Arabidopsis thaliana: one gene and its partners. The protein of the gene in region 2 interacts with the protein of the main gene of each other region in a pairwise test. Each region holds a gene or a part of one and is shown on either strand. Other genes may lie near its edges.

What was found.
Region 1: the proteins of RR12 (region 2) and AT2G44130 interact in a protein complementation assay, tested with the Arabidopsis thaliana proteins (one study listed by BioGRID).
Region 3: the proteins of RR12 (region 2) and AT1G80440 interact in a two-hybrid assay, tested with the Arabidopsis thaliana proteins (one study listed by BioGRID).
Region 4: the proteins of RR12 (region 2) and AT1G15670 interact in a protein complementation assay, tested with the Arabidopsis thaliana proteins (one study listed by BioGRID).

The regions. Positions count from the first base shown.
Region 1 is NC_003071.7:18,251,023-18,256,362, reverse strand, and holds AT2G44130 (Galactose oxidase/kelch repeat superfamily protein), read right to left. Parts: upstream 2,754-5,340; 5' UTR 2,633-2,753; coding exon 1,403-2,632; 3' UTR 1,309-1,402; downstream 1-1,308. Other genes in the region: AT2G44140 (Peptidase family C54 protein), read left to right, coding at 35-414, 509-647, 795-850, 940-1,010, 1,091-1,257.
Region 2 is NC_003071.7:10,723,339-10,730,304, forward strand, and holds RR12 (response regulator 12), read right to left. Parts: upstream 3,935-6,966; 5' UTR 3,624-3,934; coding exon 3,497-3,623; intron 3,217-3,496; coding exon 3,064-3,216; intron 2,936-3,063; coding exon 2,561-2,935; intron 2,472-2,560; coding exon 2,395-2,471; intron 2,299-2,394; coding exon 1,315-2,298; intron 1,227-1,314; coding exon 1,152-1,226; 3' UTR 963-1,151; downstream 1-962. Other genes in the region: PKL (chromatin remodeling factor CHD3 (PICKLE)), read left to right, coding at 66-425. UniProt on the Arabidopsis thaliana protein: Transcriptional activator that binds specifically to the DNA sequence 5'-[AG]GATT-3'. Functions as a response regulator involved in His-to-Asp phosphorelay signal transduction system.
Region 3 is NC_003070.9:30,238,724-30,244,134, reverse strand, and holds AT1G80440 (Galactose oxidase/kelch repeat superfamily protein), read right to left. Parts: upstream 2,684-5,411; 5' UTR 2,373-2,683; coding exon 1,308-2,372; 3' UTR 959-1,307; downstream 1-958.
Region 4 is NC_003070.9:5,387,600-5,393,207, reverse strand, and holds AT1G15670 (Galactose oxidase/kelch repeat superfamily protein), read right to left. Parts: upstream 3,257-5,608; 5' UTR 3,090-3,256; coding exon 2,010-3,089; 3' UTR 1,536-2,009; downstream 1-1,535.

The DNA of each region.
Region 1 (5,340 bases), 7.5 Mb from region 2:
GGAAACCTCATGCTTGTTTGATTTAAAAATGCAGCTTCCTGAACAGGAATACTTAGAGACCTTGGAACCTTTTGGTGATTCCGAGCCTTCAGCTTTCTCCATCCACAATCTTATAATAGCTGGAGCGTCCTATGGTCTCGCTGCTGGGTCATGGGTAGGACCGTATGCCATTTGTCGAGCGTGGGAGTCATTAGCGTGCAAGAAGAGAAAACAAACTGATTCTAAAAACCAGACGCTTCCTATGGCTGTTCATATCGTTTCTGGCAGCGAAGATGGAGAGAGAGGTGGGGCTCCAATTCTCTGTATAGAAGATGCTACCAAATCTTGTCTAGAATTCTCAAAAGGACAGTCTGAGTGGACACCGATTATCCTTTTGGTTCCACTGGTTCTTGGGCTTGACAGTGTGAATCCCAGGTTTGCAACTGTGAAATTGATTCCATTATCTCTGTTATGCTCGACTCGTATTTGTACTTGACCTTTCTGACGTATTGCTATAATCTGATGACAGGTACATTCCATCTCTCGTAGCCACATTCACTTTTCCTCAGAGCGTGGGGATTTTGGGTGGCAAACCAGGTGCCTCAACTTACATAGTTGGTGTTCAAGAAGACAAAGGTTTCTACCTTGATCCGCATGAAGTTCAACAGGTTTCATTTCGTGCCTCTGAATTTTTTTAGAGTCCATAAATCTTGGTCTGGCATTGTGGTGGTCCATAGTACCTAAGTCGGATAAGATGCCATTTCACATGATAAGTCGGATACTGATTGAGACTTATCGTTTGATGATTGATTTAGGTGGTCACAGTCAACAAGGAAACACCAGATGTTGACACATCCTCCTATCATTGCAAGTGAGTCTCCTCAAATTATCATGTCACAGACGACTTTTGCCTGGTTCAGTTTTATCTTGTTTCTTAATTTTATCTTGAATCTGCATCAGTGTCCTTCGTTATGTTCCTTTGGAATCACTCGACCCATCTCTAGCTCTAGGATTCTATTGCCGCGACAAAGGTATTGTATTACTACATTCTCTGAAACCAAAAGTTTTTAAATTCTGTAACTTGAAAAAACCTTTCCCTAATCTTCAACAGATGATTTCGACGATTTCTGTCTCCGAGCATTGAAACTAGCTGAGGAATCAAACGGTGCTCCATTGTTCACAGTGACTCAAACCCACACAGCGATAAACCAAAGCAACTACGGGTTTGCGGATGACGACAGCGAGGATGAACGTGAAGATGACTGGCAAATGCTCTGATCATGATCATCGTCAAACATTTTAACAATCTCAAGCTACAATTCTTTTTTTCCTTTTGTTAACCAGTTCTTTGTTTTTTATATGTGTTGGTGTATATTACATCAGATCAGAACACAATGTTGTACTATAAAATCTTTTGGGATTTTCAAACATAGATTGAAGCATGCGAAAATGGAAGAGTAGAGAAATCACAAGGTATATGAACATGATGACTCCATTTTCCCATTTTCTTCTCAGTCGTCATCTTCATCATCACTCCTCCTTCACCTTCACCTTCACTCTCTCTTTTACCGCCAATCATTACCACCGATTCACCTCCTAAGCTTCCGGCGAAAACTGAGCTTCCTGTCATCGGAAGCTGTATAGATTGAAGATCCAGTTTCAAATTTCTCGAATCATCGTTAGTTTCCCATCGACGTTCACTCTGTAAATCAGTGTCTGTGAAACACCATAACGTAGAGGAGCTTCTAAAGTCTCCGGCGGTGCGACCTCTCGGGCTAGTATCTGGAAATCGCCAGACGTTGTCGATTCTCGACCATGAATCTGTCGCTGGATCGTAAATTTCTCCGTCAGATCGGAATCTTCCTTGAGATTCCGTTCCGTAACCGCTCAGCACGCAAAACCTTAGACCCATACCAACGGCGAATCCTTGACATTCGTCTCTTCCTTCCGTCATCGGAGTAACCGACGACCACTCGTCTTTCTCGACGTCGTACACCTCCGCCGAGCGTAAAGCGTTTTTCTGATCGTCGTGACCTCCGGCGACGTATACCTTCGTTGGACTTACGGAGGCGCAGGCGAAGAATGATCGTGATTCCTTCATTGGCGCACCTCGTCTCCACTTCCTTCCGGCGAATTCCAGAACGTAAACGTCTCTCGTCGGCTGTAACGTCTCCGGATCCCAACCGCCGATGAGCAGAATCTTCCCGGCGTCCTGAAGCACGACGCACTCGCAGAAAAGCGGGATCTGCTCCTCCTCTGGAAACGCAACGCGATGCCACGTGGACATCGCAGCGTTGTAAACGCTCAATCCAAAACGCGGCGTGCAGAAAACGCGCGGGTGTGACTCATCCTCTGATTTTTTCTCGTCAACCATTAATGTCTCGTCAACCGATTTAGACGCTGGAATTGGCGGCGTTAGCGGTTGAACGAGGCAGAGGAGAAGCTCTGTTTTGCCGCATCTCCGCCGTTCTTGGATAAAAGAAGAGTCGGAGAGTAAGCTACGCCAAGAACGGCAAACGGATCTCATGGCGGATTGGAATTGGAACGGAACTCTGACCAAACACTCCAAAGCTAGTTCGGAAGGTAAACCGGGAATCAATTCGTGACATTGCTGAAAATCTCCACCTTTCTTTTTCGACACTTCCATAGTCATCGAACTTAAACAAGTTTGAGAAAAACAGAACAGAGAGTGTGTTTGATTGAGCAAAGTGTCTATGTGTAGAAGAAAACACACAAAAACTGACGAAAGTTGCGATTTAAATTTGAGTGAGTGTGAAGCTACAAAGAGGTGGCAGAGCCTTTAAATAGGGAAAGAGGAGGATGAGTTTGCTTGCGGTTGAAATAACGCGACGGTTCGTTTAAATTTTTAAAAACCCCTATAAACTTGATTTAGCAGCGTATGAAAAAAATCAAGATTCGTGTATGTTGCAAAACGCAAACGTATCTAAAAATTTATTTCTTAATCATTCCCTTTCAATCTCACCAAACAGGCAAGAGTCAACACATGGGTTACTTTGATGCGATTTCCTTAATAAGGAATAAAACTTTGAAATGGAATCTATAACAACTGGTTTAGTTCATGAAGACGGTGCTTTTGTTAAAACAATCTTTTCATAAAACAGGAAAAGTAGAAAGCTTCTAGAAGACTTTCATAAGGACAAAATGAACAACTAACAGTGGAGTAAATCATATACTCCATAAGAATTTGATTATTTGAATATCAACCAAAAATTCAAGAAATGTCCATGTTGTTTCATGATGTAAATTGTAAAGGCAAATAGTTGAAGTTAGGTCAGTGGTTACTTGGTTAAGTGAAGTTAGGTAACAATATTGTATATTATAATCACAAATTAAATTGACAGTATACTGCGCCGCACTTTTTGTTTAACGCTTTTACCACTGTATAGCGTCTATAGTTTAAAAACAGTTTGAACTAATAACTTTTTAAACTAGTTTATCAACTAGATATCTAGATTACTATTCCATTTCAGTGTCAATTGAAACCGAATCTATGACATCTTGATAATAAAGTTCACGAAGACCAGTAGTGAGCTTTTTAGTCTTTACCATCACTTTTTATTTGAAATAACAAAAAGCTTCTAGAAGCTATGCAAAGACAAATAATATGGAGTAATAAGGAATGAGTCGTATTCACTGACGCAACCGTCAACCGATAAGTAAACATCTCGTGAACTGTTTCTCCCTAATTTACTACAATTTAAAACAGGTATATTAATATGTATGATGGACATTTTCATTTCATATTGGCATGTGCACGCACTATCAAACAAATTCTTTCACGAATAGTCCATATGTATAGATTCTTTATGTTTTGCCAAAAAATTTGTGCTTAGTTGTTATAAGTTGTAAGATATCATCATGTGTTTTTAATTTTGTAATACGTATTATTTTACGTAGAAAATTGCGAGGGCAGTTTCGTTTGAATATAAGATTCATCAATAATATTATGATTGATTATAACTTTATAAAGGTTTCTACTTTATTATAGTCTTCTAGAAGAAGTTCTCATGGATATACATTGGCATTAACTATCCTTGGGTCTTACTCTTCGATTATTCAACATATTATATTAAAACGTTGACACGTCTATTCTGCGATGCACCGACGTAAAGGTATGTCTCGCGGACTTCCAGCCTCACACAAGTCATCTCGTCTCCACCGGATAATTAATGATGCTTTCTGTTGTTTTACTTTGGGGTTATTTATGAATCTACGCTTACTATTTGTGCCGTTATTTAAAACATGTTTCAAGGGAAGAAGATTAATTTGGGTGTTAGCGCACGATATGAACATAGATAGACAAGAAGAAAAATGAAAGTCGGGGATAAGAAGGAAAATAATAAGAATGGGGTCGAACATTAATAGGGGGCTGGTCCATTACACTCTATCCCATTTTCCCCACATTGTCTGTTCTTGTTTCGTCAATTGTCCTTTCTTTGATTACTCTCTACTTATGTATTTTCTCTCTATCAGCTTTTCTAGCTTTATTCATCACCAATTATTGTCGTGTGTCAAGAAAAAGTAACGTAGAGTTTCTTTGAATAGTAGTAGTAGTTTCGCATATAAACGAGTACTTTCGATTCATTTTCATTCCTAAATGGTAATATTGGCTATCAATAGGTCGCGTTAGTCAAAGAAACAATGGATACATCTTTTGAAACTTTTTGCTCGACAAGAAAAAAGCAACTATAATGTCATTTAGTTTTGTTTTATTTCCCTTAAATGGATTATGGATCAATGGATGATGTAGTACTGTTAACAGATTCTATTGATGAATTTCACGACTATCGCAAGACGAATTTGAAATCATCACGAAACTGAAGTTGTTGTTTTTTTTTTCTTTTCAACGAAGGTTGATTGATTTACGACTACGATGAAGTGGATTGGTTTCTAATTAATTATTCCTGAAAATGAAACCAAAGATATAATACAACTATTACTAAATGAAAAGAAGAAAAATAGAGATAAGGGTTCTAGAAGATAGGCATTGATATTTGTTTTCCCTTTTGGGGAGTTTGTCATCTTTATGGGGGAGGAAACAAGTGGGCCGAAACTGGCAAGCACTTATCCTCTTGGCTTTAGTCTTCTTCTTTACGGTTACTAAAGTTTTTCTCTTTCTTTTCTTCTAGAAGACCATATTGACATTTTTTTTTGTATCTCTAGAGTAATAGCACTAAATATAAACCTAACTTTTGATGTTAGTCTAAGACAATAAGACATACGAAGCTTTAAAACTCTATTGTTTTGAATGATCACAATGTCACATATCAATACTTATATTCGATCTAGAAGATTTGGAAGAGTATAGATTTAATTTGTTGGTTTATGAAAAGAAAAACA
Region 2 (6,966 bases):
TTCCTTTGGTGGTAGGCTAATGTCTAGAACTAGTATATCACACTAATATCTCTCCGGTTATTCAGATGTGCAAACTTCTTGATGAGAACGCTCGGGAATCAGTCCAAGCATATGTAAACAACCAACCACCGAGTACCAAGGTGAATGAGAGCTTCCGTGCACTCAAATCTATCAATGGTAACATTAACACAATCCTTTCGATTACATCTGATCAATCCAAGTCACATGAAGACGACACCAAGCCAGACCTAAACAATGTTGAGATGAAGGACACGGCCGAAGAAACAAAACCGTTAAGAGGTGGCGTCGTCGATCTGAATGTGGTGGAGGGAGAGGAGAACATTGCTGAAGCTAGTGGAAGTGTTGATGTAAAAATGGAAGAAGCCAAAGAAGAAGAGAAGCCAAAGAACATGGTCGTTGATTGACTCAACTGGTAAATCAAGATTCAAGACCCAAGGGGTCATGAAGTAGGAACTGTTGTATTATCTTTGGTTACATGTATGAGACTTATTCTTCCTTTTGTAAGACCTATCTTCTGCTTATGCAAACATTGGTAACATTTTAGGCTAACTTTGATATTCTTCATGTTTTCCTATTTTTGGAAAATCATGAAATTATAGTTTCTCAATCAAAGCTGTTTGGTTATGCACCTCAAGCTTTTTAACAGTGTGTGAATAGGTTCGATGAAGTCCGGTTATGTTTCCGGTTAGACGTCGTCTGTTTCAATCTAACTACTATTCTCAATCAAACTCAAAAACTGAACTAAATAATGTAAGATACAAACACAAGAATGTTATAATACAAATTTGGGTTGACTTTAACATAATGGTTTCGAGTGTACGAAGGAATCTTTGTTGCTTTAAAATTCGTCATCATCACTTTTTCTTCATAGACTTTTTCTATAGGGTTGTTTCTTCATAGGCCCGTGAATTTTGGTTTCATACACAAAAGGGACAACTATACATTAAAATAAAAAAGTAAGAAAGTTTATTTATGAATCCTTTTTTCTTTGTTGTTTTCTTTAATGGAGTCCTAAATTGCTAGAACCAGTGGGAAAACAAATAGTTTACAATTTTAATACACAAAAGATTAGCGAGAAAAAGAGACAAACAAGATGATGATATTTGATTTATGTCTAAATGTTTGTTCTCTCATATGCATGTTCTGAGTGAACTAAACCCTCCATATCCCAAATCTCCTCCAGACAAATCTCCCTGGCTCTGTTCCTGTCACATTCACAAAATCTTCATGTCAGAAATCACAATAATCTCCAAATCAGAATGGTTAATATTGGCAAAAGCTTTAATGTCACACCTGCTTCATCGTGGAGTTGACTATATCATCTAAGGAACCAGCATCTGCAACCATGAATCCACCACTCTGTAACTTCTGTTGGCCTACGACGAACCCTTCTTTCGGGTTACTACTACTCAACAGAGCCATAGCATCCGTGGATGGACCATAAAAGACTCCAGGTTGCACATTTGTGTTTGAATCGAAGTCCGTGTTTCTACAGAAAGCTCGGGGATTTGTTGTATCCAAGGCTGGAGAACTCAATGTATTGGCAGAGTCACAGAATGGTATAGAGTAGCTTGATGACACATTGTTCCATTCCAAGGGGTCGGGTCTAGAATGCGGTAATGGAGAGACATCGAACTGATGATTGATACTATTACTGTTATGTGCCGGGGGAGGAGGGTGAGTCGAAGAGGATACAGCATTTGACCAATGCTCCAAACGTTTATTGATCTGGTGTCCTGGGAAGCCTGGAGGAGTTGCTTGTGGGTGACCTTCTAGAACCACGACATTGTTATTAGGAGCACTGATGAGCGAGTTTTGTTGCGTAGAGAAGCTAGGAAAAGCCATGGAGGTCCCAGCAATGCTCTTGTTACTGTTCATGTTTCTACTTTTGTTGTTGTTTGTCTGAAGCTGGTCGAACTCTAAAGGCATTGGCAACCCTTGAAGTATGTTTCCTCCATCACTGTGGTTAAGAGGAAGTGATGAGACATGGTGAAACTTTCCGATATCGGTCTGGTTTTGCAAGAACATTCCTGCAGGAGGAGAAGAAAGGCTGCGGACACCGATCCCCGAAGGAGTATTGAGTCTGCCAAGAATCCCGTTTGGAGGGAAAGATCTCATTGCAGGAGCCCCACCATGGTACTGACCAGATCCAACAGGGATTGGGCGGTGATGGAAACCATCAAGTCCATTCATTTGCATAAAATGTAACTCAGAGTTTGCCATAATAGCTTGCTGATTAGCCACACCACTGATCCTCTTCAAGTAAAGGCGGAATTTCTGCAAACCACAGCGAACAAAGTCATAAGCTTCCGAGGTGTTAAAAAACAAATCTTCGGGTTACGCAAGTTAAAAACATGAAAGATTCTTTGTAACCTGAAGATGACTGGCCACATTTTCTCTAGTGAGCTTCTCAACATTCATCAGATCCAAAATCTTTTTAGGCATAGCCTCTGCAATCAAAACAACACACACAAAACAGAACTTAAGTGACATACTGATAAGCTTACTCTCATATCAAGTGACATATTGATAAGCTTACTCTCATATCCCAATTGGTTAACAGCTGCAACAAATTTCTTATGCAGCTCAACAGTCCAAACAACACGTTGCTTCTTTTGAGCACACGAATCATCATTATCATCTCTATCCTCATCCTCATCTTCATTATACTGATCTTTACGTTTTCTATTACCTTTCCCATTGTTCTGATCAGAATTCCCAACACCTTCATTACCTGATCCATCTCTCTTATCACCATTATTATTACTCCCACGGTTCTTATCAAATCTACTTCTCACGACATGTTGCCATATGTTCTTCAACTCCTCAATACGAACCGGCTTCAGTAGATAATCACAAGCACCATGAGTAACTCCCTTCATCACATACTTTGGATCACTATGCGCAGACAACACTGCAACAACAAGAAAATCATCATCACAAAACCAAGTCTAGAGATCAAAACTTTATTCCTGTAGTGAGTCATTAAGGAAATAAATGACAAAAGTTTAATTAGAAAATAATAATAATAATAAGACTTACTTATGACAGGTAGGTCCATTTCAAGACCAACAAGCTCAAGGAGTTTGAAACCATCCATGTCAGGCATGTCAACATCACTAATAACCAGATCAAACTTGTTCTTGTTCTCTCTCAATAACTCTAAAGCCTTTTGTGCTTGGTTCGTCGTTGTTACTGCAACAGATTCCATAAAGTCTTAAACTTTTAATTCAATTCAACAATGAAACTTTCTCTCTGACAAATGTCAAATCTTACAAAATCTAACAATGGAATAAAAAAAGCTAAGTTTTTTTTAGATTTGTGTATACAAGAAGTTAGGTAGATAGATATCAAAAGATTCCACCATATGTGGATCAAATCACAGATCAAAGAGACATAAAATCTAAAAACTTGATGAAAAACAGATCCAAGAAAACAGAGAGAGAGAGAGAGAGAGAGAGAGAGAGAGAGGAACCATGGTATTGGCAGTGACGAAGGAGAGATTCAAGGATTTTGAGACAAGTTTGGTCATCATCAACAGCAAGAACTCTCATTCCTACAGGAAACTGATCCAAAGCTTCTAAATTTTGTTCAACAGTCATCGTTTTTCAACAGACCCAGAAACGAAAGATTGGATTTTTAATCTTTTTTGCAAGTTGAAGAAAGAGAGAAAGTGGGATGTGCAAGAACGTCGATGGAGAAATGAGTTAAAGATTAAATATGTGAATGGGGTCTAGAGAGAGAGAGTAGTAGTATATAATATTTAGATTTAGAGAGAGAGACAAAAAGATTTTTCCAGCAGAGTTAAAAAAAGGAATCTTCTTTAGCTCTTCTAGCTATCTATAAATGGCTATGGAAATTGTGTGTGATCATCTTCTTAACACTATCCACTCTTTTTCTGCAATTCTTTTTTTTTTCTTTACATTACAAAACAAATAACATTTTATTGAGAGACTTAGAAAGAATCTTTGAAACATAACCAATTTGGTTTAGTTTGGTTTGTTTTGTTTTGTATGGTTTCTTTTAAACCAAACGGAATAATAAACTCAATTATACGAAAATTCGTAATTTTTAAACGAAACTGAACCGAAATGACTAATATTTGTCTAGTGGTTTTTGTTAAAGTGGTGTTTTAATGTCATTATACCGAATCAAAATCCGCATATTGTACCGAGTTTAAACCGTTACAAATTGAAGTGAGTTGTTTGATTTTGGTGAGTAGTCCCTACACTTATATATAAGGATTTCCACCCTAAAAGAAACTTGTATCCCTATCCTCAGGTGATATATAATACACCATTTTTTTTAGGTTTATCAAAAATTATCATTTGTAGGACCAACCATATATTGTACACTGGTTTAGTGACTGAACCGGATTAGTATTATTGCCACTTCCTCTCTCTAGTCTAAAGACTTTAAAGTTTAAACTAATAAAACACACTACTTGTTTGCAATTAAATTGTGTTAAAAAGTAAAAACCAGGTAAAATAATACTTAGGTGTTATTTGAATGGGGGAAATTAAAAAGTAATTATGTTAGAGATAGGAAAGTGTTTAAGTAAAAAGATTTTGGTTTATACTATCATTTATATCGCATCATTATTGTGGAGATACATTTTGATTCTTGTTAATCTAGTATTGTCCAACTGTTAAACGGACAAAAAAAATTAAATTATTTCCATAATGTCAATCACTGTTAAATACTTTCCTTAGCATTTGTTTCAGATTTAAACCGATTTACTAAAACGATTTTTGTAAAATTTTGGGTTTTAAATATATTGTAGTCACAGAAAAAAAAATCAAAACACCTAATTCGATTATTTCTATCATTAATTTAAATTTCATTTCTTATTTTTTAACAGTGTTTATATTAATTTGTTTGGTTGGATATAAGATGATAAATGGTTTTATTCCAGGATTTTGTATTAATTTACGAACCCCAAGTAGTAGTGTTAAAACGGTCTTTCTTGTTGGAGAAGACCCTTCATTTTTTTTAGCACTTGTTTACCTTCGTGACTAATTTTTATGTAAGTGTGTTTCTTGAGAAAAGTGTTTTAACTTCACTTTATAACATATGTATCAGAGAATCTCGTAGCATTACATGTAACTTAACTTCGGCAAGTCTTGGTGTTAAACTTATTATTATCTTATATATAGATTAAGCCATTCTAGCTGGTTTCTAAGGAGATTTGTCCCAAACTCGAAAACGGACTAAACAATTTTGATAGATAAGACCACATCTATCTGATATCCAGTATTGCTTTGATCGCGTAATCGAGGTCTAGATGAGGTAGTAAGTAGTAACCCTCTTTCTCCTATAAGTTTTTAAGGTACTTCACGAGGTCTAAGATATGTCCATTCATGTAGATAATACATATCTGTTTACTGTTTTTCCCTTTTCTCCTTTCATGCACTGATGTACAAGCAAATGATAAAATTGACTTAGCAAATCAATTGTAGAAACCATAAAGTAGCCTATGTTTTTTGTACATACTCTTAAAATCGACTATATCATTATTCTTAGAAAAACGCTATCGAAATATATGATAACGTTAAGAAAAACGCTCTAAAATATATGGTACAAAAGATAGTAAACTGACAATTGCACTCGGACTCCACTGATATCCAAATCGTAACGGTATCTGGTATTCAAATTTTAGCATCCTTTTGATCTTTTTCCAAAAATATAAACACTATGTCTCTTAATTACATCTTGACTTTATTTTTCACTATAATTTGGCATAGAAATGATAGACTGTCGTGGATCATTTTTCCAGCTCGGCGTATAAGAAAACAATTTTTTTCTCATAATCGTCTTAGCTTTCGGCATGGTTGAAATTATTGAATTGATCGATATTAGAGATATCGTCCCACGTTGAAAGTTTAGTAGGAACTTAAGCAGTTATATATAAGATATAAGTCTCTTTACTCATTCCCGATTGATTTTGAGTTGGAAGCCCATAATCTAATATGGTATCAGTGTCCGATCTGCATATAGTCAACCCAATCCACATCGGTCCACTAATCTATGCCCAAACATATCAAGACTAATGGATAGAAAAGCCATCATTTAGAAGGATCGTATTAGAGATATTGTCACATATTAGAAGTTAGTATAATCTTAAGTAATATTTATAAGATATAACGTTCTTCACTCATTACCAATTAGTTTTGAGTTGGAAGCTTATATTTTGATAGAAGAATCCTTTGAATTTACTATTTTTGTGTTCTAATACTTCCGTGTCAACTGTTGTTGCGTAGGAAAACTTGCCTCTCAATGGATAAAGTAAGCTCAAAAGTTTTGTTATCGCCTTAAATTTGAATTTTATAAAATCACACCTTTGGAAATTAATATTACAAGACCATACTTTAATTACAAGTAATCAGATTGATTGGAGTATGGTTTCAAAAACTACTATGAATATTCGAAAAGTGTATCTTGTGAAACAGTTTTAAATAGCTTTCTAAAAAAAAAACTGTTTTAAATTAGTTGACAAAACAATATTTTGGATTTTAAAAATGAGACAGGCTTTAGAGAGAGCAAGCATGCTTGAGATTGGGAAGTGCGTTACACGCTTGAGCGTGCATCAAAACTCTTTCTTTCGTACAGTTGCAGATTAAAATCGGTTCTTAAAATTATTTAATATATGTGATAATTAAATTAAAATTCGTATGGTAAAATTAAAATCAACGACGATATTCGTTTCTTTGACCTTTTTTTTCTTTTGCCATCGATTTCTTTTCACTTAAAAGTTTTTCTAAAAGAAAGAAAAAAAAAAAAGAAATCTTGAACTTTAAGTTTTCTCTTGCAAATCAAAGTTAAGAAAACTCCACATGTGCAAGTGCAAGAACAGAAAATGGAGAATTTCGAACAACGTTCTCTTGCAACAGGTGTTTCAATATGCGGTTAAGTATAGTTTTTCAAGGCAAAGTATTGTTTTTCAAA
Region 3 (5,411 bases), on a different chromosome or scaffold from region 2:
TTTGAGTTTTAGGCTATTTAATCGTAAGTTGGGGACACGTGATATTTGCTGTTGCTTTTTACTATTTTTGTTAGGGCTAGTTAATATCCGTTTTCCATTTAACCTAGACTTTTTTCATCCTTCATTAAACTTTTTCTTCAAGGGTCAACTATTTCGGCGCGTGTACTCCACTTCCTTTTGGAATACAAAAAAATCTTATTCTATACGCGGCAATTACTTACATTAGTCAAGGAAGACATCATTTCACGAGCATATAAATCAATGTCTTTTTAGATCTTTTATCTAACCATTAATACGTGGGATCCAAAACACAAGCTATCTAGTTTCTAAATTTCTTGAAAAAAGATAATATAACCACAATGCTCAATTTTCTTTTGGAAAGTAGTACTTTTTGACAAGTCTACAACGATCAAGCTAGCGTAATCGTCTTCGTATCTTAAATTTTTCCTTACAATAAAGTTGATGATGTGTGTATGGAGATGAATGAAAAGATAGGCTAAATAGGCCGACTTATAATAGATACAAAAATGTGTTGACTTTTTGGTTAAGAAAGAAACTAAAGAAGCTAAATTCTCTGTACAGTTTAACACTGCTCCAATTCAATTGTTTGTGTGTGTCATAAAGCTGCCAGCCGTTGGATTTAATGACAAAGCTGTGACGCAGAACGAAGCGGCGCCTATTTCCTCTGCAGATTCAACGGCTACGATTTAATTCTCCTGCTGAAAATATAATGCACTTTTCTTTTGTATCGATATTAAATAGATGTTACTTGTAACAGAGGGTGTCTCTGCATCTCTCTTTAAAGTCTGTTGTCAGTCTATCTTCGAACTCTGCCCCTCAGGTGTAATCCATATTTCAAACCTCTGCTCTAATCCTAGCCATCCATTTGTCTCAAGTCCCATCCAAAAGCCCATTTAAAGATCAAAAGTTCATCATTCAAAATCTGGTCTATTTGGGCCTCGAGTAAAAAAATTAATAGGACTAGTCTATGAAACCCATTAAAGTTCTTGGATACCAAAATCAAGGCTCCTTTAATAAACTTTAAAAGTTTTGTGTCGACACATGTTTCGAAAGTTTGTTTGCTTGCAATTATATAATTAGATCAGTTTTGTATAGAGAACCTAAAAGTTCAAATCTTCCTTTTGAAGTTTTGTATAGAGAACATAAATATTTGGTAAAGTGACACTGAATAAATACAATATTTCTTTATTTTGTTGTTCATGAAAAGATTTGTAGATTGACACACGAGACTACCCATTGGTTTGTTGCGGTTTAGGTTCAAACTCCAAAGATGAATAGGTTTTCCATTAGACCTCCAAGAAGCAGCCAGCTTGAACATGACCACCGTGTGTTTCCAATTTTACCCATCGTGAGCTACTTAAATCACATATATACCCTACGGTGGCTTCACCGTATCCAGCCAACGCCTTCCCGTTGCCGATCACAATCAGCATCCCGGGCCTCACCGCTACGTAAGTAACATTGTACACATCAGCAGGGATCTGGCCCACCTTTTGCCACTTGTCATTTAGAAACATCATCACATCGCCACCCCAGCACGCGTACAAATCCCCACCGGCGACGCAGGTCGGAGGGCTAACGGTATCGCCGGTGTCGTCGAGGAAGTCCTCCGTAAGTGGACCCCACTCCCACGTAGACACATCGAACGATTCGGCTGTTTTACTAAACTGCCCCTGTTCCTCAGTGGCATATCCACCGATGACGTGGAATCTGCCAGCATGGAATACCGCTTTGCACTCGTCTCGTTCCCGCGCCATATCCGGCAAAAACGTCCACTTGTCTTCTGACACGTCATACACCATAGCTGACGTAAGCGCACATTTCTCTTCGTTGTGTCCACCCGCAACCAGCACCGTCCGATCCGAATCCGAAGCGCATCCGAAGAAGGACCTCCGTACACCTGGCATGGTTGCCCCCACGCGCCATTTGGAAGTGAGAAAACTGAAGACGAATACCGAATCATGGGCCTGCCACGTAATCGGGTCAAGCCCACCCAAGACAATAAGATCGGATCCAACGGAAACCAATCTGCAGAACAGAGGAAGTCCTTTGGTTTGACCAGGAATCGGAGGAAGCTCCGTCCAAAGACCCGACCCGGATTCGAGAACAGAGATCCGGTATTCAGGCGTAGCGATGATCTTTCCGGATCCAGCGGGGTCGACACGAGCCTGAGACAGAATAAGAAGCTCTTGGCTATGGCGTGAAGCTTTTCGCTGATGTAAAAACTGAGAGAGAGAGACTTCACGGTTCCAGGCTCTGCAAACGGAGGCGATGACAGGGAACTGTTGGTAGGAGGAGCGAAGGAGACACTCGCGAGCAACGTCGTCGGGAAGATTGGGGATAAGTTCCATCGAGAAAGTATCAAAGATTGAAGCTTTTTGTTTATCTGTTTGTTGAGAAGTGAAGAAGATTGAAGCTTTACAAGTAGAGTGAGGGATATTGTAATAGTTTTGGTAAAAGATGAAATTTTGGATCGAGACAAGGTTGAAGAAGATGATGATGATGATGGGAAAGAGGAGAGTGTGCCGCTTTATAGATATTTGAAGATAAGTGTTTCTAGAAAACTTGTTGATTCATTCATCGTTTCTTTCTTTTTTTAATATAATTTTTGTGTTGTATATTTTATAGTTTAAATCAAATAAAATGAAGATAACGGAATTTGAGTTAGTATGGGCAAAAACGGTTAATGGTTGTGTCTTGTATTTAAAGATGGAGACTTTGGACCAATTGGGACAAGTTGATGGATGTCATATCCAAGTTCATTTTCTCCTGATATTTTTCTGGTCAGGTTTAGTAATTTAGCATTCGAATTCCAGTCAACAACAGATTATATATCTAAACATAGACGGTAAAATATACTACCGAATATCGAATTAGGCCTTTCGACTAATACTGATTTTAGATTTTGGATGTTGTTTTGACATGTTACTCTGTTTTCTATCTAATGCTATAGAGTATACACTTACTAGTGCGCACAACAAAAAACAGAATAAAATTAATCTATCATTTGTTCGTTTAAGAATAATGAAAAAACTTAAAACCTACACATAAAAGACTGTACTTTTTGAATGGACCTTCTGAATCTATAATTTAGATCACACCCTTTCTTTTTCTCATATACTAAAATATTAATCGGACCACACACACCCTTTTGCTTTGTAAAAATTTAAATCGATCTCCTAATTCCAAACAACAGAACTTGTTTTTTTTTTTTTTGGTTTTATTATAAACAACAGAACTTGTTCTTTTTTTTTGGTTTTATTATAAACAACAGAACTTTGTGGCAACTTGTATACTAAAGTGATGAATATATGTATACTACACATACACGACGGCAAAATATTATTATATGAAGAACGCAAAACTACAAAGATGTTTCCTTCGCATTATGTGGTACATAATCCAAGCACATAATAGCGTTTAAAGATTAATTTATGTTTTATTAAAATGAAATCCAAATCCAGCTCAAAGACTAATGCCTTGGAGTCTTTCCTCTAAAATCCTTCTAGATAATTTCTCTAATTTCACTTGTAGAATTTCCCTTTTTTTTGACAAAAATTTATTTGATTCTTATTTGGCTTGTTGTTGTCTGTATGTGTGTGTCTATCTTTGGTCGGCCATATTTAAATCTGTATTGATACTCGACATCTTTAAACTATTACCGATGACCAAAGTTATATGTTTTTATAAATATAGCTACAATATATACAGATATTTGTCGTAATTATATATGATCTTTATTAAACTTCTTAACGCGTGTGACATAAAGAAACGAAATGTTGTCTCCGTACTCAAAAGCGTATACTCGTTAATCAAAGCATTTTTGCTTACTAATTTAATCTGTAACGTATGGACATTTATGTACAATACTCTATTTTTCGTAGCTGTACAAAATTGAATACGGAATAATACAATATTTAGGGAATTAGTAGCATGTTCCATGCAGGTTGGACTAGTTCTAGTGTCCGCCATATGTATAAAGCTGTAAACATCTTTAACGCATATATTTGGTTTATTAAAACAATAGTTTTGTGATTACTATGACCCATTCATGTATTTGCATATAAATGTAGTAACTTGGAGTTTTGGTTAATTAGACAAAAGATACTCCGATCTAATATTTTTTAAAATAAGCTAATTGAAACTTCAACGTGGGATAAAACGGGCTGACAAAAAAAGGTTCAACATGAAGAAAATAACTCTAACTGATAAAACGGCACGGCGTCTGAATGACTATAACTCTATAAGGTGACAAAACGACACGGTGTCAACATCCTTAAAGGGGGGAAGAAGAGTCGTCGTGATTCGTCGGGTGGCTGGCTCTTTGATAAATCTAAACAATAAACGACGGAAGCAATCCGATTCTTCGTAGATAGGAATAGCCCGAATAGACTGGTACTGGGAGTGTTGGACCCACTTCATCAATGTTCGTGTCGATATTTTCAATTCTCATACTCTTCTTTGGTCGCGTTCAATTATTCAAATCTCTTAACAAGTATTTTCTTCACAAGAAAATTCGCCAAGCAAATTGGAAAAAAACGAAGAACACACGAAATAACTAGCCAAAAGAGTTTAATTACTTCTTTATATATGTGATCGTTATTTATTTGCATTTTACTCGTTTTTTTTTCCAATTATGTCGACACTTGATTAAATTAGAAGCACAAAGCCTCGAAGCAAACCGGCAAAGATAATAACATCTGCCAGAGCTAAGTAATAAGGTTTACAGTTAGATGATCGAGAGAATATGAGCTTTGGCACCGCAGAAAACGCTGGCCAATTACATAGGAAAATGTTCATTTGAAAAGATATATAGCTAAACAGTATATATGTCTCAAAAGATAGTTTGACTCGCCGCATCTTTCTATTAGGCACTCGACGTCTTCATCATATATGCATTATTATTTTGCATATTAATTAATGGTAGGGATCAAATTGTTACGAAGACATGCAATAGATCATTTGGATATTCATGCGGTCGACATCAAATAAAACAGCTCTCGTACATACAGACAGGATAAGCTCATGAAGTTTCCTTTGGTATTTATTTTTACGTCCTTTTCCATATCCATTATGATAGTTATCCGGTAGCTGATGTGGACTTCGTATCTTCTACTGCCAGTAATTGTATTTCTTTTTTTATAAGTGCGCGGAATATCTATTTTCATTCATCCTCATCATCATATACTAACATCAACTTATCTACCTTTTTTTTTTTAAGGGTTTGCTCGAGGTTTCATGTCATTTTTTGGAAATAAATTTTGACAACATGATTTAATGTTGAATGGTAATGAAATAAGAAAATCAAGATGATTCAATACTCTTCGATATATATAAAGTGAGCGAGAGGGAAAGCACAGAGTATGATAAATCAACTGAATTTAGCTAAT
Region 4 (5,608 bases), on a different chromosome or scaffold from region 2:
TCGGGTAAATGTATATATTTTTCCAACTTTCTGATAAATTTCGATTTCTTTAGTTTCGCATGTTAAAGATACATCTTGAAGAGCAAATCTGAATAACTTGACGAGGAAGACAGAAGCCCTAAAAATTAGAGATGAACTAAAGCCACAAGCCCACAACTTATTGGTTATTTATAGTTGCGTCGTTGTGATGAGGAAAGAAAATTAGAGATGAACTAAGACTTTGCTGGTTTGGTTTTCTTAGTGTTTTTTAAAAAACTAATATTTTGGAATATTGGGCTTGGCTTAGCTTAGCCCATGTTTCCAAAAAATTTATAACCCGAGTCTTCAAATACGCTCTATCTCGGCAACTGCACTTTGGGATTCTTTCGAGATTGTTGGCGAAATGACACGAATGTTAAATTTTCAATTCTAACACGAAATGGGACTAACATAACGTATCGACACTCTTGTCCTTGTAAGCTTCGTTAGATCAATAGAGTAAGTGTACTTTAGTTGGGCTTATTAGGACTAACATTAAATTGTAAAGTATAAAGGGTTGCCTGAATTTTCAACCCTATAGTAGTTGGAATCTCAATTTTCCACCATAAACTTTTAGCCACTTGAAAAATTACTATAAACAATTTTAATCTCGATAAAACTACATGTACTTTCGGATTTGTTCTTAAAACTACACCTCCAATTGAACCGACCAGTTAACCGATAATTATACATCCGGTTTGACTTACCCGAAATTTAACCGAACTTAATTCGATTTCGACTCTATTTTAACCCAATTTAGACCCAAAAAATATATTCTCTAGAAGAAAAATACTTTATTTATTTTTATTTATTTTTGATAAAAACTTAAAAATTAATTAATTAATTTTACCAAAATAATAAAATAACAAATATACCACACAAAATTATATAATAAAATTTTAGTATATATTTTGGTAATAAAAAAATATACCGCAAAATAATATAACAAAATAGACAATAAATTCTTTTTATAAATAAAATGGTGTTATATATATAAATGTATTTGGTATATACTCTAAATTTAATAATTCAAAGGACATTTTCTTTTTAAAAACACCATAACCATATATATATATATAACTCATCTTGAATATATAAAAAGAAAACTGAATCTATAAAGAAAAATGAATTTATAAATACCATAATATATACTTTGATTGTGGTGTTTACGGATATATATAAAAATTAATTTGGCATATATTTTGAATTTCATTACATATATAAAGTTCAAAGGTCATATATTATGATTTCAAGAAAAATGAATATTTTGTTTAAAAAAAAGACATAGCTTTAAATTTATAAAAAAATATAAATGATTGCCAAAAAGAAAATGTATATGCTTGTATATTATCAAAATTCTATAACAAAATGTAGCTCAAAATATAATTTGAGGTATATTTTGTCATATTAATTTTCGCTAAAATTAAGTTATAACTTAATATTTTTAATTTTTTATCACAAATAAAAATTAATAAAAACACTTTTACTTCTTAATAAGGCAATTTATTTACATTTAGGTCAAAATTAGGCTAAAATAGAGTTAAATCGAATTAATTTCGGTTAAATTATGGATAAGTCAAACCAGATGTATAATTAACGGTTAACTGGTCGGTTCAATTGGAGGCGTAGTTTTAAGAACAAATCCGAAAGTACATATAGTTTTATCGAGATTAAAATTGTTTATGGTGGTTTTTCAAGTGGCTAAAAGTTTAAGTAGGAAAGTTGAGATTCCAAATAGTACATGGCTGAAAATTTAGGCAACCCAAATATAAAATCTACCACTAACTTTAGTAACATCACACAACAACTTAAAAAATAAGATTAAAAACTATAAAATCACTCGACAATAATTTTTTTACATTCAAGCTAACAAATTTATCTATAACAATATAATATTTATACAGTCACACTTGACAAAATCAACCGACCAAATTTACCGTCATTTCGCAAGGACGACGTACAAAAGATTCGGAACCTTTTCTAAAGTTTTTTTATATCTCCAAGAAGCAACCAGCTTGAACGTGGCCTTCATATTTATCATGTGTTTCCAGTTTTAACCATCGAGAATTGCTCATATCCCAATTATACCCTACACTTGGTTCGCCGTACCGAGCCGAACCGATCACAACCAGGTTTCCAGACCTCCTTATCGCCACGTAAGATACATTGCACACGTCAGCAGGTAGATTCCCAACTTTATACCACGTGTCATCTTTCATCATCATCAGATCACGGCGACAACAAGCATATAAATCTCCGTTTTCACCGGCAGCACAAATCGGAGGCCACATAGTCATCTCCGAAGAGAGAAACTCTTCTCCTTGTGGACTCCACCGCCATGTGGTGACGTCGAACGATTCAGCAGTTTTACTAAATTGCCCTTGTTCCTCCGTGGAGTAACCACCGATGACATGGAATTTGCCAGCGTGGAAAATAGCTGTGCATTCGTCTCGCTCACGGCCCATATCCGGCAAGAAAGCCCATCTGTCTTCTGCCACGTCATACACCAGAGCTGACATCATCGCGTTCTTGTCTTCGTCGTGTCCTCCAGCCACAAAGACGTTCCGTTGAGAATCCGAAGCGCAGGCAAAGAAGGAACGCGGTCCACCTGGCATGCTCTTCCCGACGCGCCACGTGGAGGTCAAGAAGCTGAAAACGAAGACCGAATCAGAGGTACGCCATGTAACCGGGTCAAGCCCGCACAATACAACAAGATCCGACCCGACAGAGACTAATCTGCAGAACAGAGGCAACCCGTTGGAATGACCTGGAACCGGAGGCAGCTCGCTCCTTAGACCGGTACCAAGTTCAAGAACCGAGATTCGGTACACGGGGGTGGGGATGGTTTTATTACCCGATACGAGTTCTTTAACCGGGTCGACCCGAGCTTGAGACAAGACAACAAGCTCTTGACTATGTCCTGAAGCTTTCCGGTGTCGGAAAAAATCAGAGAGGCTGATTTCTCGCTGCCAGAGTTTGCAAACAGAGGCCATAAGAGGGAATTGCTTGTAGGAGGAGCGTAGGAGACACTCGTAGGCTACAGTTTCGGGAAGATCAGGAATAAGCTCCATCTTTTTAGAAAGTTTCAAGATTTGAAGTTCTTGATTTAGAAAAAATGAAAATGTTCAGGTTGAGAGAGATATGAATGAGGTGATGAGAGAAGACAGAAGAGTGTGGCTACTTTATAGAGGGATAAGTCTTCTAGAACAATAAAAAAGGAAAGTGTATTTTCAATTGGTAAAAATATCATTTAAATCAGCACTAGTTTACCATTTTTGTTGGTTTTAGAACATGAACTTTTGACCTAGTGATTTAAATCCTTAATTTTATATTGATTTTCAATTTAATTACGAACTCTCGTTGACTAATCCAGTTAATACACATTATTAGAAATTTTCCAAACCACAAACCCTAGATCTCTAAAATCGATTTCAAATTTTTCTACCTTTTTATACGGATTTTCTCCTCTACTTCGGATTTTCTATTTTTTTCGAATTCGAAGTAATCTCTCGTGTCTAAATCAATTGATGGCGCTGAAAAAAAAAATCAGTATCTCAATTGGTTTAGTCAAGAAAAATTAATGATTTAATTGGAAATCAACATAATCCTAAGTATAAAGTTTATAATTTAAATCAAAAAAAATAGTAAACTGGTGATATTTTTTTCCATTTTAAATTATAGAGATATGTATTTATTTTATTAACCTATTTACGATTCCAACAAGAGATAATTGGTTAAGAAGACTAGAAAAGTAAAAGTTTTGACTTTTCGTCAATAGGAAAAGTTCAATGTTGTTTGAATTCTTTTGCTTTTAAGACATTTTGTTTTTCGATGTATACATGAATTTCTTCTATAAACGTAACTTTGATAGGAGAAGTTAACAGAAGTCCGGAGAGAGTACCGTTCGGTTAATGGGATTAATGTGCGGGTTTTGGTTTATATGATGGAGACGGTGTACCAATTGGGACATGTTGAATGATGTGATGGTCATTGGATTTCTAGATCTAAGACCAGTTTTGCAAGCAATCAAGTTAGCTAAATCAAAGTCTTGTTAATTAATCTATTTTCGACTATCTATTTTGTTTATTAAAAAATCGTTCTTTATGTCTTTCTTTTTTTGGTTATATCGTAGACTAAATGTGTACTGACACGAAAATGACATCTATCGGATTATATGTTGGATAAATAATTAATTCATATTTCACCGTTTCACGTTAAGCATCGTAATTTTTACGGGTTACTTTACGAATGAAGGAAAAGTTATCTATGTGACTAATAGCTAGTAATATTAAGATGCTCGACGTGGAATTAACGTTACCTTTTTGCCGTAATTATTGAAGTGTACATGTATAAATAATTAGTGAATCTTCAAGTAACGTATTAATGAAGCTGTTCTACCACGTTGTAGAGACAGATTATATAAAAATAGTAGTATTAAATTAGCCCGAGTAGTGGATATAAAAAAAAAATGAATAATGCATGTAGGGATCTAAATCTATGCTATATTCCAACATTTTTTAAAATATATATAAACAAAGTCAAGAGTATTGTATAGTTAAAATATTCGAAATATACAAAGGTCCATGTGATCCCATGTGCGGTAATGTTCACGAAGACATGTTAACCAATAGCCAACCAAACGATTATTATATTCTAATACTATAGCCTATCGTATTATACACGGATAAAATTAATGGTTGAGTTATTCAAATAGTTGGGACTTGGGAGTTAAAGACTGGTTAGTTTAAACCAAAGCGTCTAGAGACGATGTTTCGATGGTTTGAAACGTTGCTATGTAGATTGCAGTTAACGACGAATCGCACCATCTGTTTTTTTTTTTTTTATCACATAAGTACCTTTTTTGGTCACTTTTTATAAGGTCTTAAAAATGGTTGCATAATTTGTTAAAGATATGAAAGTACAAACTTGGTTCTAAATTCACCAGATCATTAAGAAAATGATAATTGGCACAAGTGGCCCAACGCACAAGACGATAAGACGAAACCATAGGAGGTAAAGCGACTTTAAAAGAGGCAACACCTTGTCACTTTCACTGACTTCGTTGTTTTGTTACATTCATGTATGTCAAATTAGACATTTAAAACAATATAGTAGATACTAAGCTAACCATTTGTTCGAAGTACGCATAATTAATTCAAAGGTGCATATTGTATATATTTATTTCCGTTTTATAATATCAATGTGTTTATTCTATCAGCATGAGATTGTTCTAAGACAACTGTCATATTTTAAACATCTTTCTAATCAATTTGATATTTTAGTTTCATTTGATTCCATGTGAACGGCTTATCCAAAAAGTGACCAGTGTACTATACAATACTCATAATTAACAATTCAATATTGTTTAAGCGCAAAAGAAAACGTGAAAAAGGAATTAGAAAAGAAACAGCCTAAAAATTGAAAACTTCAATATTTGTGGTTCCTTCCATCCTCTTATTTTAATTTTTTTTTTGTGTATCCTTTCTCTATTGTTTGTCGGCCATTGAATAATTGTATTAGAGAGATTGGCTAAACCATCCAGAAGAACAACGATTTTTATTAAAGCTTGTTAGTTTCATACAAATACAAT